Caenorhabditis elegans: one gene and its partner. The protein of the gene in region 1 interacts with the protein of each later gene in a pairwise test. Each region holds a gene or a part of one and is shown on either strand. Other genes may lie near its edges.

What was found. Proteins that work in one complex are often made in the same cells at the same time.
Region 2: the proteins of nipi-3 (region 1) and cebp-1 interact in a two-hybrid assay, tested with the Caenorhabditis elegans proteins (one study listed by BioGRID).

The regions. Positions count from the first base shown.
Region 1 is NC_003284.9:15,603,919-15,612,200, reverse strand, and holds nipi-3 (Protein nipi-3), read right to left. Parts: upstream 4,233-8,282; 5' UTR 4,230-4,232; coding exon 3,648-4,229; intron 3,595-3,647; coding exon 3,398-3,594; intron 3,269-3,397; coding exon 2,917-3,268; intron 2,870-2,916; coding exon 2,689-2,869; intron 2,638-2,688; coding exon 1,982-2,637; 3' UTR 1,578-1,981; downstream 1-1,577. Other genes in the region: K09E9.3 (Transcription initiation factor TFIID subunit 5), read left to right, coding at 1-68; Ras-related protein Rab-14, read left to right, coding at 5,585-5,690, 5,837-6,081, 6,574-6,692, 6,756-6,918. UniProt on the Caenorhabditis elegans protein: Adapter protein that regulates different signaling pathways. Required for larval development and viability. Involved in negatively modulating pmk-1 p38/MAPK signaling.
Region 2 is NC_003284.9:1,450,248-1,456,864, forward strand, and holds cebp-1 (CCAAT/enhancer-binding protein homolog 1), read right to left. Parts: upstream 3,622-6,617; 5' UTR 3,612-3,621; coding exon 3,459-3,611; intron 3,410-3,458; coding exon 2,664-3,409; intron 2,615-2,663; coding exon 2,554-2,614; 3' UTR 2,448-2,553; downstream 1-2,447. Other genes in the region: W05H7.1 (uncharacterized protein), read left to right, coding at 537-596, 1,095-1,372, 1,735-1,792. UniProt on the Caenorhabditis elegans protein: Transcription factor. Binds to promoter regions of target genes, perhaps at the motif 5'-[AGCT]TT[AGT][TC]GAAA[ACT]-3'.

The DNA of each region.
Region 1 (8,282 bases):
TCAAGGACCGAGACGAGGCTTCGTCCTCCTCCTCCTCCCATTCTTTTTCAGCCAAGCGTAAGCATTGACTGTCTTTAGCTTGAATGTTCTCAAAACAAGTTTCGAAACAAAAAAAAATATTTGTTCCCATTCCATTTCATTTCTTAGGCATAAAATGAAAGTTCATTCACCGCTTTAATAAAATAACAATTGTGGTTGTTCAAAGCTTTATATTGCCATCTCTGTTGCACCATGTCACATCTCCACCCGATTCAACTGTTTCAGGAATTGCATTGTTTTCTTCGTATCTCTTCATCATTCATCCTGTGTTTTGTTTAAATATCACCTATTTTCACCTTTATTTTATTATCCTTTAAAAATTATTTTGAATGTTAACCATAAAAATAATGAATTTATAATATCAAATTACTTTTTGATGAATTAAATTTTGACGAGATCTCGGGCGCTGTATGTAATGCCATTATTTTTTTGATGCTTCGAAAAATATTTCAGTGTGTAGAAAAAAGTGAGAGCAACAGCTTGTTAGTTAAGCTTTTTTCCGAAATTTTCATTTTCAGAGTTATATATACTAATTTTGATTGAAAAAAACACTGAAAAACCAAAAACGCACATATTTTTGGCCGACACTGTATTTATAAAAGTTGGTTTGCTTTGTGACTACATTTAAGGGGTGGGCGACAATCGTTTCCGGCAAATGGGCAAATCGGCAAATTGCCAGAATTGAAATTTCCGGCAAATCGGCAAATTGCCAGAATTGAAATTTTCAACATATCGGCAAACCGGCAAATTGTCAATTTGCCGAATTTGCCGGAAAAAAAGCAATTTGACGAACAATTTTCGGCAAATTGTAATTTCGCACTAACTTTTTTGGAAATTTTAGAATTACAATTTCAAATAGCAAAATTGTACGCATCCTATAAATATTATTCTATTTTGAATTATTATTTTTTGAAAAGTAAGCAGTTTCTAAGAAAATATGCAGACAAAACTAAAAAAATTCAAAAAAGACACAGTTTTAAGTTTTTCCGTCTTACAAAAAATACCATTAAAATTTCTGGCAAATTTGATATCCGGCAAACGGCAAATCGGCAACTTGCCGAAATTGAAAATTTCCGGCAAATCGGCAAACCGGCAAATTGCCTATTTGCCAAATTTGTACATTTCCTTCCAGACCCAAAATGATCTATTTTTGAACATGTGCCGTCTAAATGATTCAGAATTCCGCAAGTATGCTTTAAGCTAGACAATTCAAATTTTTAAAATTGCTAGCTAAGTTATCTTGTAACTTGTACTACTGAAAATGTTCAATTTCTTGAAACGGAAAAAAAGTTACCTAGGTACCCTCATTAATCCAAAAAACCCTTTCTATATTTCTCGTAAACAGTGCCCATGATTTCTAATTCTAGCAGTCAACAACTTTCATTTTTATTTTCAATTTCCAATGTTGCATGACTTTTTCAAATTACCAACTTGCACGTGAGACGTGTCTGTTGCGAAATCGAACTTTCTGCTTGCAATGAATTCTGCTCACTTTTCAATGATAAAGTTCTTATCTCGAATGCAATTCTATTTCGTCGTTTGTGACCCAATGTTTATTGATAATTCACAGGCTTATCGGTTTTGTAAAAGAGTTTTGTGAATATGTATATTATAGCAGTGCTACAGTATCGAAACTTCTTGCGAAAGTTTGAATGCTGACTGGGAGGAGACAGGGAGGAATACACATTGGCAGACCTTATATGAGATAAGAGTAGTTACATGAAGTTGGAGATTGAAACAAAAAACAGACATGATGATAAATAAAACACCCATAGAGGTAGTTTGTCGACCTTGAATTACATTACAGATTTTCTAAAATATTCGGAATTTTGAAAGTTGGTAGAATAAGAATTTCTGACGAGTTAATTACAAGGATGCGAGAGAACATACAGAAAGTTGGAAAGTACATAAAGAAAGCTAGCTATCTATTTACATGTTCTATTTAGGAGGGCGATATGTCAAGTCCCTTGAACACCGGAGGTGGATATGATTTCGGAACGGTCCCTTTCATAACAGTTGGAAACGCCAGCGAATTGGCGTCGGACAGAAGCTTGTAGACGACTTTATCAACTGGCTGCTGGCTTGGGTGATAATGTTCGCTAATTGGGTAAATGTCACCGGGAAGCAGTAGCTCTTTCGATATATCACTGCATTTCAGTTGGACCAGTCTTGGAGCACGATGTTGCTTTTGGGCTTGGCTTACTTCCTTCTCGAAGAATAGTTGGTTGATCTGTTGCAGGCGAACTTGCATCACTAATGTTTGATATTCAGTTGGTTTCGTTTCAATTCGACGTTTCATCTGCTCTTGAATTGAGCGAAAATCTCTCTTTGCCATTTCGGTGAGAATTGTTGAATCATTTCTGCAAGCCTTCATTTCTTCATACATTGGGAGTACGTTTTTCGGAAGAAGTCGATCTTTATAGGTGTTGTAGTACATCTCGAACAGGTCCATCTTCACAATCATATCCTGTTTCTTCAGGATTATGTTGGAACGACATCTAATTTCCGGGAAATCTCCATTCACTTGATTCCACAGATCTTCGAGATTCATTCGGGTTGCTGGTGCTTTTTTTAGCAGCATGTTCACAATGTTTCTACCTAAAATAGGCGCGGAGTTTAAACCATTTCAATTTTTTCACTTTGACCTACTTTTGGAGGATATAAAATTAAACGGCCAGCGATGTTGTTTGAATTTGATGGTACGGAACAACAGTGGCATACTATTCTCATGGAATGGATACTTTCCAGTTAGCAATATGTACAGTAAGACACCAAGTCCCCAAAGCTCGGTGCTATAGCTATGATGTGTTCTCGACTCGGCAGTGAGCATCTGAAATTTTATGTTTTTTAATGTGGAACAATATTTGAACTGCAAACCTCCGGAGCCATGAATGGAACGCAAACTGATCTACGAGTAAATTGCGCTTCGGACTGATCTTCCTCACAGCTCATGTCTTGAAGGAAGCACGGACGAACAACCCATTTGTTATGTGCATCTTTCTTTAGGTAGAAGCTTCTAGGCTTGAAGTTTTGGAGAATCACTTTTCTCGAATGACAAAATCGAACAATCTCCACAACCTTTTGGTAGATACTCATCACGTCGTTTTCAGTTATTTCATCAAGACGCTCGGTGGCGTAGGAGTGAATTGTAGCCGATTCGCACGGATTCATAAGAATGTATCTGTCGTTACTCTTGATAATTTCCATTCTCTTTGATATGCAGAGTTCGCTGAATTATTCAAAGATTGTATCAACTTTCTGACTTTATGACGTCAGCGTCCCGATTCTGACTTTTACTTTTTAAATGATTTCATAATCCCCCCTTTGTTTCATCATATGAGCATTTTTTTTGACTCACCTTAAACGGATTTCATCAGCGGTCATGGATGAGATGTCGGTGGGGATTTGAAGTCGTCGAATGACGTCAATCACTTTCGACGCTTTCCATTCAGGAAGCACGTGAGCGGTAAACATTTCGCGAGTTTGTGAGCAAACAGCGCGAGTAACAAGACCAGTTCCATAAATGACAAAGATTCCGATAATTTCACCGTTAACCTTAACATTGATTCTTTTGAATGAGAAGATTTCAAATTTTAATTTCAACTCACCAAGTGTTGGGCACTATATGGGTTCACATGTGGTGCGGAGCTGGATGTAGCTGAAAACTGCTTCGACTTCTCCTCTTCCTCGAGTTCCTGGATCAAACGCAAGTACTCATTCTCATTCAACATTGTTGGTATGCGTTGTTCTGCTGGATGATCTCCATTGTTATATAGATCCGCAGCCGGAACCATAGATCCACGTGTCAGTTGCACGTAGTGATCATTCAACGCTTTGATGATGTGCGGGGGTAGACGACCCAGTGGACGAAGTTCAAGTGTTTTTGCAGGTCCGATTGAAGAATAGCAGATTGGAAGCGTCGTGCCAAAATTCTTTGGATCAATCTTCGGAGCATTGCGAACTCTATAGTGGTACTCTGCTTTGACATTTGGGAAGACGACATTCTTCTTGGCTAGAACATCGTAAAACACCCTTGGACGACTTGAGGTATTTCCAACAAAAGGAAGAGTTGTGGGCCTCCTTCTTGAAACGGCATCCTGACGAACTGGTTCAGAAAGATCTTTTGCGGTTTTTCTGACTCCAGTTCTAGGATTGGCTACGGTTTTGGTTTTGCATTTTGTACGAGCCATACCCTGAAAAACAAAAAAAATAATGTTTAGGGAACATTGTTACAAAAGGAGAAGAAGCAAATGAGATAAAGTTGGTAGACTACAGACAAGAAAATGCAAAGAATGATAACCCTAGAATTGGTAAGAATGAAGGGGTGTTATTGCGAAACATTACTGGCTGCGAGGGTTTCACAATGAATTTTCCGTTTTTTTTTTTTTTAATATTTCGCAATACTACATTGTAGATGACTAGAGGGAGGACCGCCCTTCTTCACATATCACAGAAACGACGAGAGGAATCGGAAGAGAGCGCGTGGCGATGAGAGAAGCTCGTGCATCAGCAGGTATTGCGAAATATCATCGCGGCACTACGATCAACACAAGTGTCAGAGAAGGAAACTACGGGGACCGAAACGAGAGATAGAGAATGAGTGGGTAGATGGTCGAATAGTGATAAAATCAAATGTCTCGAGAACTGTAAGACTGTTCACAAACGAGTTGTAACCGATTAGGGGAGCCATGGTTGGAAATTGAAGTCATAATTTGCAATTTGATTAGGCTATTAAGCATATTTAATATTATAGTATTTTACTCTGTTCTGAAGATGAATTTGAAGAGCAAAACAAGAAGCAGGAGGAAATAATTGTTTTTTCCATGTCTTAGGCATCTACGTATATGAAAAAGAAAAAGCATGATCTCTTTGGAACAAGGAAAAAGATAGCTGGCTCAACACCAATGACAGATGAATAAGGAGAAAAGCTAGAGCCCACACACACGTGCGCATTCACTCGTCATTTCACTCTTCTCTCTTTTTGTCTCTCTACGTGTTTTTTTCTTCATCTCCAATCCGTCTCCTACGCGGCACATAAGGCGAGAGTCAGACAGCACAGTACAGCGCACACCGAGAGCGAGACGTTAGAGACACGCAGTAGAGACCAGTTCCGTTGCAAGCGTCGCGGTCGATAGTACGCGACGCGTCGTTTCTCAGAGAAGACAGAGATAGAGGAATGGAGGGGCCCCCGTTTTTGTCCAGTGTCTCTTTCCTCGTGATATTCCATTGCGTAGCACTCCTCGTACAACTGCTCCTCTCTCTCTCTCCGACATTGCCTCTTTTAGCTTTCTGGAGGCCAATGGATTCTCTATTGCTTTTGGACGTGGCGTTCATCTTTCTCTATCCCAACTACTTCCACATTTGTCTCTCTCTCCCCGTCGGTTTTCCCCTACTTCCAACTAATGACAACTTGGCAGTCAGTCTCTAATAGCCACTTTCTTTTGTGTGGTCTATCTATTCTCATTGCTACTTTTTTGTATCCTTTTTTCTGAAACGAATAACCAAAATATAATCCGCAACTTTCAGGTAACAAAAACACATAAAAATGACGGCTGCTCCTTACAATTATTCGTATATTTTCAAATATATTATTATTGGTGATATGGGTGTCGGAAAATCGTGTCTTCTTCATCAGTTCACAGAAAAGAAGTGTAAGTCCCGCATTCCTGGAAAATCGATATATCATGTTGTTTGTGTCAACATTAGTCATCAACAAGAGACCTGTTCCTCCGGTCAATAACCACCGTACAATCACTGCGGGCAACAAACGCAAAAACTAACTATAACTAACTTTCAGTCATGGCCGACTGCCCGCACACAATCGGCGTGGAATTCGGCACCAGGATTATTGAGGTCAGCGGACAGAAGATCAAGCTTCAAATCTGGGACACGGCGGGCCAGGAGCGATTCCGCGCTGTGACGCGATCATATTATCGTGGAGCAGCCGGAGCCTTGATGGTCTACGACATCACTCGCCGTTCTACCTACAATCATTTGAGCAGCTGGTTGGCCGACGCAAAAAGCTTGACCAATCCAAATACGGTAGGTAAAATATATACTTGGTTTATAATTTTTACTCAAAAGTAGGGTTGAAAAATATATAAAAACTCGAATTTATACTTTATAAAAGCATTCCCAAGTTCCAAAATTAAAGCGAATTTGAACTTTCAGCAAAATTTCAAAACTACATAGATGTACGCCATGTTTAGTAAATTGCAATTTATGAATTTTTGCAAGCATAACATTTATTTGCAGCTCAAAAGATCGTAGACTATAAACTGAATTTCAATCAAAATTCTCATGAATCAGATTTAAGCTGGAAAACATTCAATCTGTATGTGCTCTAAATTGTGTGTTTTATCGTTAAACTAATATCTAAAAAAAACGAGTTAAAATTGGGTTATCTAGTTTTATTTGGAGAGTTAAAAATCTACCTGTATTAGTAAGAAAACAGTATTTCGTCCACTTTGCACTGATTTAATTTTACAATAAAAATGAGATTCAAGCACCAATTCTCACAAGTTCCTTTTTCAGGCCATCTTTCTTATCGGAAACAAAGCCGACCTCGAAGATCAACGTGACGTGCCATACGAGGAAGCAAAAGCTTTCGCCGAAGAAAACGGGCTCACTTTCTTGGAGTGCAGTGCGAAGACGTAAGTTTCTTCCCCCCACCCCCCCACTGCAAATTCATCAATTTCAAATGGCTTTTTTTTCAGTGGCAGTAACGTCGAAGACGCTTTCCTCGAAACGGCCAAGCAAATCTATCAGAATATCCAAGACGGAAGTTTGGACTTGAACGCCGCCGACACTGGCGTCCAGCCAAAACAGAACTTGCCACGTGCAGCTGAAAATAATGGGAAGAAGGACTGCAACTGCTAGTTGATGTGTGCAAAGTCCCTTCTTCCCCTCAAATCATTCCCAATTGATTTTAATGTATTTTTTTAAATTATTACTTTCTAATCCGTCTATCTGTATGTGAGAGCTTGTCACCCATTATCATTAAAATGCCAGAAGAATCAACATTGGGTGGTATGGTTTCTTGTTTCCAAATTCTAGTTGCCTGTCAAAATCTAAACTTGTAATCACTATAAAACTACTCTGAAATTCAGAACTTTGTGTCACTTTTACTTACCAATTCCCAGTCTTTTTCAGTCCCCCACCCATTACTCACTATCATCATCGAACTGTGAACCGTTCATAATATAACACTTTCGCTCACCCAACCAACTGCATATTTAGTAGATTTTTTCTGTCAAAAACCGTTTTGAACATTTTTCCCCCATTCCTTGTGTGATAAGAAACATCTATATGATCCCACCCCATTAAGTGCTATAATTGTGCTTTGAAAATCAAAAAAACTAACGATTTTTGTCATTTTTGTCACTTTTCCTTATAAATAGTTCTCTGTTGTTAGTTTTATGAACCTATGATTTCAGAAAACTTTTTCAAAATTTATTTTTTTTGTTTAATCATTTTTCAGCAAAATTCAATTGTACATATAATATTTAAAAAAACTATTCATTGAAGCATGAAGTGCTCAATCTTCAAAGTTAACATCACCAGTAATAGTCAAATGTGTTTTCAAGTGTGCGTAAATTTTTCTAATGACAGAGTAATCCGTGGCTGAAATGGGATTCTAGTCACGGGTGGGCAGCAAACGATTGTTTCCGGCAAATCGGCAAATCGGCAGATTGCAGGAATTGCAGATTTCCGGCAAATCGGCTAATCGGCAAATTGCCGATTCGCCAAATTTGCTGGAAAAAAAGAAACTTGCCAAAAAATTTCTGCAAATTGTGGTTTCGCACTTATTTTTTTGGAAATTTTAGAATTCCAATTTCAAATGACAAAATTTTACGCATCCTATGAATATTCCTACATCTATTTCGAAAAGTAAGCAAATTCTATGAAAATATGTAGACAAAACGGAAAAAATTCAAAAAAAAACGGTTTTAAGAGTTTCCGTTCTATAAAAAGTCCCTCTAAAAATTTCCGGGAAATCTGATATTCGGCAAACGGCAAATCGGCAACTTGCCGAAAATGAAAATTTCAGGCAAATCGGCAACCCCGCAATTTGTCGACAATTCAATTTGCCGAAAGGCAATTGCCGCCCACCCCTGATTCTAGTTACTCACCTAAATTAGTAAACTGTCAGAAATTTGAAAATTTGCGTAAGCACATTTCGCTTCACCAGTGCAATTGAAGCGCTTAGGCATAGCCTAAACTTTCTTGTAATCTTTATGAGA
Region 2 (6,617 bases), about 14 Mb from region 1:
TCTCGGCTTTTCTTTTTCAGATTTTGGATTTTCGAGTTGTCTAAGTTACAATAAACTCTACTTATTTTTTCCACGTTTCGGCCAGAATTGCAGTAAAAAGGAGTGATACTAAATAAAAAATTCACTAAATAATTGTTCAAATGTGCAAAAATTCCAGACATTCCTAAAAGCTTCACAACTTCTTTTTCTCACTACAGCCTAGAATCGATATTCCTCTCCCTCTCCACCACAACCTCGTTGCCTAGCCTTCTCGAACAAACGTGGTGACTACGAAAGCACAGCAAATGCGCTGCACTGACACCCCGCCGATCTCTGGGGTCTCTTGGTTTTGAACGATATCTCCCATTCGTTTGTCCATCGACAATGGTACTCTAAAATTCATGGAGGTCTACCAATCCAATTTTTTTGCTACCGAACTTCATCTTACTAATTTCAAACTTTTCCTAGAGTTTTGAGACTTCATCAGCATTTTTATGCTTTCATTTCATATTCCAAGAAACTGAATTAAAAATCAAATTCTAGAACCTTCTCACAACATGCCGCCAGGAGGATCATCCGATAGATTTTGCGGAGCCGATTTTTTTGATGAGTACGAAGTAAGTGTTTTCAGTAGGGTAATGAAAAAAATGTTGCGAAATTTTCGGAGAATTCATTAGTAGTAAACATGAGTCATTGAGCATAACCTAGTGAGCCAAAAAACATTAATTTTTGTTTAGGAATTTGTTAAATAAAAAACTAGAAAATTGACATTGAACATTGGAATCGGTGTAAAAACTAAACATAACTATGTAATTTTGGTCAGTGCAAGCAGATATTTCTCTGTTTTAGAAAAAAAATCCAGTTGAAACAATTGCCAATTGGCAAAATTTTGGTCAGTGCTATTTTTCTTGTCAAAGCATTTTTTGGCTTAAAGCAGACAAAATTAAATGAGTAGTACGGTAAATTAAAACTGAGTTAGTGTTTTCAAAATGGACGAGAATTATAGCCATTTGGTCAGTGCGATCGTTTTTCATTTGTGCAAATCTTAAAAATTTGAACCTTTTCAAGCTAAAAATTACAAAATCTGAAAATTTTGAGAAATTCTCAACTTTCAGCCCTGCTCCCTTTCCCCGGAAGAAATCCAGCGACGCCGTGCCCAACAAGACTCCCTCCGGCTTTTCCAGGACACGTTGGAGCAGGTCCGCCAGCTCGCAGAGCAACTCCAGGAGCAGTTCCGACAGGCGACGGAGCAAACCGCACGGATCCGAGAGGAGCAGAAAAAGATCCGACGAGCTATCCGAAGACAGAAAAAGTTGACTCAGAAGCGGCGAAAAATGCTCGTAGAACGTGAGGTGAAGCGGAGACGGGTCGCGAAGATGTTCTTTGCCTGCAGGTGAATTTTGAAATTGGCGTGAAAATTTGATACCTACTTGGACATTAATTTCTATTAATTTCTATTAATTTTGGAAATCAATAGTTTCTAAATACGTTTTTCCGAAATTGGGTCCCAGAAAAAAACCACTTTTTTCCAAAGTTTCACCTCAAACCTCCGTCTGATAAAATGATAGTTATGCTCCGAATGCTCCAAATAATCTTCATCAACGTGTGACACTATACGAAATGTTTCGAAATGTTAATGCCTTTTTTTCGACCATTTTTGTTATGGGCTCCTGTTATCTTATTAATCAGTTCCTCAGTAACTACAGTAATCCTAGTTAACTACAAAGTACGAAGTACAAACTACAACATTTTCAGAGAACGCCGCCAAGCCTTCCCAGACCTGGCTAAGCAGTATCTCCAGAGCATCAGCTGAGCCATCTGGCATTATCATAATTATTATCTCAAATCTCTGTAAAATTGTATTATTATATGTAGCACAACCCCTGGCTAGTCAAGCCCCCCACCGCAATATATTTATATATTTTTGAAATTTTTGAAATTTTTGACTATAGAATTTGGAATCCTAAATGTAAATTTTTTGAGCACTGATGAATTTATTTCTATTTAGATAAAATCAGCGATCAAAAAGAAAAAAACAATAGAAAAAAGGCAAAAATAATAAAGCGAATTTGAAATTATCAAGGCAAAATTAGTTAACACATGTTCAGGGGGGATAGGTTTTCAGACAAAAAATGCACTAGTTGACTGGAAGGGGAAACATTACCAGTGGTGTAGGGATTGGAAGAGGATCTGGTTTTTTGCTACGTGGTGTTGAAAGGAAGTTAAGGAAAATTTTCCAGCCAATTTCGAGTTATTGGACTTTGAAGCGCAAGAGGCTCTGCGAGCAACTCTCAAAATATAGGAAATTTCAAGTTTCACAACTAAGTAACAAAATAACTTGCCAGCAAGTAAACGGGGGGAACAGATGAAAGCTCAGCTTTGGGGGGAAGGGAGAGAGATGGAATAGAATTATGTACGGTTTGATGCTTGTTTTACACTGGGAGACTAGATTGGGATCAATGAAGGGGGGGGGGGGGGGGGGGTCACTGGAATGATGGGGGGAGAATGCCGTGGAATAAATATGAGGATCCTAGGTGTCTAAATTATTGATTGGTTAATTGATGAAGCTGCAGGTTACTTGTTGAAGTTCTCGAGGATGTGGCGTTGGGGCATGCGTTGCTCTTTCATCGGGCCTCTGAAATTACAAATCGTTGAGAAACACTAAGGGTTTTATTCTGACTCACTTATTCCTGAGAAGCTGCTCCAAGGTGTCCTGGTCCCGACGTCTGGCGTCACGCTCGGACTGGAGGAGCCCTTCAAGCTCGGCGATGCGCCTCTTCATCTTGTCGTGCTCGGCTTCCTTCTTGTCCTGGAGCTCCTTTGCCTTTTTACGCGATTTTCTGACGGCATCATTGTTCCGGGCTCTTTTCAATTTGTAGGTCGGCTCAGCCTTCTCCTCGTCTGCCTTGAGTTTGTACTTTCTTGCTCTGGTCTGTGGCTTGAAGTTTTCCAGTCCGGCGGATTTAGTTTTCTTGCTCTTTGGCTCAAAGTAGGAGTCGTCAACGCTTCCGTCGTTATCCGTCATATCGCTGGACTCCTCCGAGTATTCCTTCTGGTAATCGTCATAAGGAACTGGGCGTTTGACAGCTCGGCGGGTCTTGGTAGCTCCGAAATCCGGTGTCTCAGCTTTCACTTCACAATTCATCTTGTACCCATCCTGATCATAATCCCCAGGCACTCGATAGCCAGTGCCGTACGCCACGTGGCGCTCATATCCGTTCAGCTCCGGTTGTTCGTAAGGATGCTCTCCGTCGTAAAGGATGTTGCACTTTTGGAGCTCGGCATCATCAAAATCCACATTGTCGGTAGGAACGTCAAGATCGTGGAGCACTTGCAGGTAGTCGCCAAGGTCCAGCTCAGTTTCCATAAAGTCCACTGGATGGCGTTCGCGGTCACGTTGCTGGAGGGATGCGGCAATGGTAAGAGAGTCCTGAAAATATCGATGACTAAGAGTGAGCAAGAGCACTTTATCCACTTACTTGTCTTGCGAAGGATCCGGCGGAGGAGGTGGAAGCTCCGTTGTTCGGCATGTCAGTGAACCCACGTACCTCGGATTGCTGGAGTCTTACCAGGTGTGGATGCTTGAGGGCCTGGTCGCCCTTTTGGTGGCTGTAGTTCAGCTTGCTATACATTTTCTTTATTCTGAAAAAAATACACTAAACTTAAAGAGAAGTTAAAGAGAAATAAGAGCAAACAGTTTGCGAAAAGGTTTCGAATGTTCTCGGTGAGAGGCGATGAGAAATAAAAAGAGAAACAGAGAAAGCAAGGAGGAAAAATGAGAAAAGTGAAATGATGACGTCATTGCCGCCGAATTTAGCAACCAGCTGCATAAGGGTGAGCAAGCGCTATGGGACACACCCAGAAGGTTATCAGTAGTTATCAAATGGGAGTGTGAATAAAATAAACTAAAAAGGTTACATTTCTTACAGATTTTAGAAACGATAACTCAAACTTTTAGACTTGCTCCAACACTAGAAAATGGATAAAAAATAGATATTTAAATTGTCTATAAAGTTGAAAAATTGTCAGAAAGGAAATCGACATCACAAATGACTATGTAACTGCTAATTTAAGAAGAAGGATTATCAACATAGAAATCGGCTTCTAACACTACAAAATACTCAAACCAGCTCGAGGAGCCCTCCACCAGACCCAACCGTCTCCGGATTGCGAAATGACAAACCCCGACACTTTTTTCCACGTCGACTTATAGCCATGGGCGGGGCGAGTTGTGTACAATTAGACTCCAAGGAGATGGATGAATACCGACGCTAGGAGGCAGGGCGCAAAGTATTGCGAAATCGGCGGCAATGTTGTGTTGTGAGAAGAGAGGAGGGGACAGGAGACGCAGAGCTTGCGATGAGTCACAACGCCGCCTCTGCGTCTCTTCCCGCTGCACACTATGCGGGGCGAGAGGAATGGGAGAAGCGCGAGTGGTTTTGTTGTTTGCTGGGAAAGACGCAGAGAAACCGAGGGAACTGGACTGTGAGTCATACATGTCATGCATACTGCAAAGTCATGAAAAACTGTCGTGGGGGAAAATGGAGATTGTAGGAGAGAGAGAGAAAAAAGAACAAACTAAATAGAATTGTTCCAAATTTGAACATGGTGCATCGGCTACACACTTCGACTGGTAGCCATAAAATAATCATTTTTAGTTAAAAAACTATAAAACAAATACTATGTTAGTTGGCAAATTGTTATAAATTCATTCAACATCTGTTCAGTTAGAAGGTAACGGCTCAACAAAAACTATTGCTCATCGTGCATCGATTGGGATCACAGTTCCCATTCTAGATCCTTGCTGGTAAATATTCCTATTTTTTTGAAAAACTATAAATTTTCAACTTCAAACCGCTAGAAAACGTAATAATAAGAATTTTTTCAATTGAAAATTTTCTGAAAATCTCAAAAACAACCAAGTTATAAGCTGTTCAAGTTAGAGTGCAATACTAAAGTGATTTTAATACATGGTGCATCGACAAGAATCATATGAACTTGACAGTCCATGTGTTGGCACGATTTTAGTTCTAAACTTATTTTTGACTACAAAATTCGAAAAATGTGATAAAAAAGTATTTTGTCAATTGTTGACAATTTATTACCGAAATCAAAAACAACCAAAATATTGTTTTCAAGGTATAAATTTATTCTTTACTACAAAATTATAGAAAATGTGACAAAAACAAATACAAGTTTCTCAAGTTAGAGAGCTATACTGAAAGAGTAATAACTAAACATGGTGCATCGATAAAAATCATATGACTTTGATAGTCTATATCAGGGCTGGGCGGCAATTGCCGTTCGGTAAATTGATTTGTCGACAAATTCGGCAAATCGGCAAATCGGCAAACCGGCTATTAGCCGATTTGCCGGAAATTTCCAATTCCGGCGATATGCCGGTTTGCCGATTTGCCGGAAATTTTAATTTACGGCAAGTTGCCGACTTGCCGATTTGCCGGATACCAGATTTGCCTGAAATGTTTAAAGGGGTTTTTTATAAGACGGAAGCACTTAACACTGTCTATTTTCGAATTTTTCTCGTTTTTTCTACATATTTTTTATAGAATATGCGTACTTCTCAAAATAGATATAGGAAAATTCATATGATGCGTTTAATTTTGCCATTTGAAATTGAAATTCCAAAAAATAAGTGCAAAACCACAATTTGCCGAAAATTTTTGGCAAATTACCGATTTGTCGGCAAATTCGGCAAATCGGCAATTTGCCGGTTTGCCGGAAATTTTAAATTCCGGCAAATTGCTGATTTGCCGAAAATTTCAATTCCGGCAATTTGCCGATTTTCCGATTTGCCGGAAAAAATCGTTTGCCCCCCACCCCTGGTCTATATGTCGGTATATTTGGAATATGTACGATAATTTTCTGATTCAAAAAATAAAGAAAACCTGCTAATACACATATTTATAGTCAGATAACTATTATAAACCTAGAAATTTTTTAACCATTAGTTGTTCCAGTTTAAAGTAAAAATTGAACATGTTGCATCGAATGGGAATTTGGAAAACGTTTTAAAAAAATTCATTATTTTTCAGCAGAAAAAATATATCAAAAATAAATTTTAAAATCTTGTCAGTTAAAATTTCAAAAAAAAAAAATTAACTTTCGAATCCTCAACAAACTGAAAAAAACACATCACAACCTTCGCGCCCAAAACAAAGAAAAATCACATTTCTGATTTCGAGTGCGAGGAACGCGATCTAATTCGATCAAGAACCCCCAATCGGCGCCTACGCCTCTCGATTTACGAACAAAAATCAATAGCTAGCATATATGTCATATGCCTAGAAAATGATGACAAACCCGTGTAATATAAGCGGGGAGAAAACTTTGTTTGCTAAGGGTAAGATGACAATTGCAATTGAAAACACTAGGTCATGTGGTAAAAATTGGCGTAAATTTGGAATTTGATTAGTTTAGAATATTTTAAATATGTTTTTTTATTGTTAACTGGGTTAGTAAATAAGAAATTTAAATTTAAAAGTTAGGTCAAAATTCGAATTTTTAAACTTCAAATATAATACAGTCAAAATTTTCAGTTTTCAAGGTCATTCAAATACCAATTCACTAAAGTTTCTCTCCTGTTCCCCTTACCCTCTTCCCCGTAAAAAATATGACGT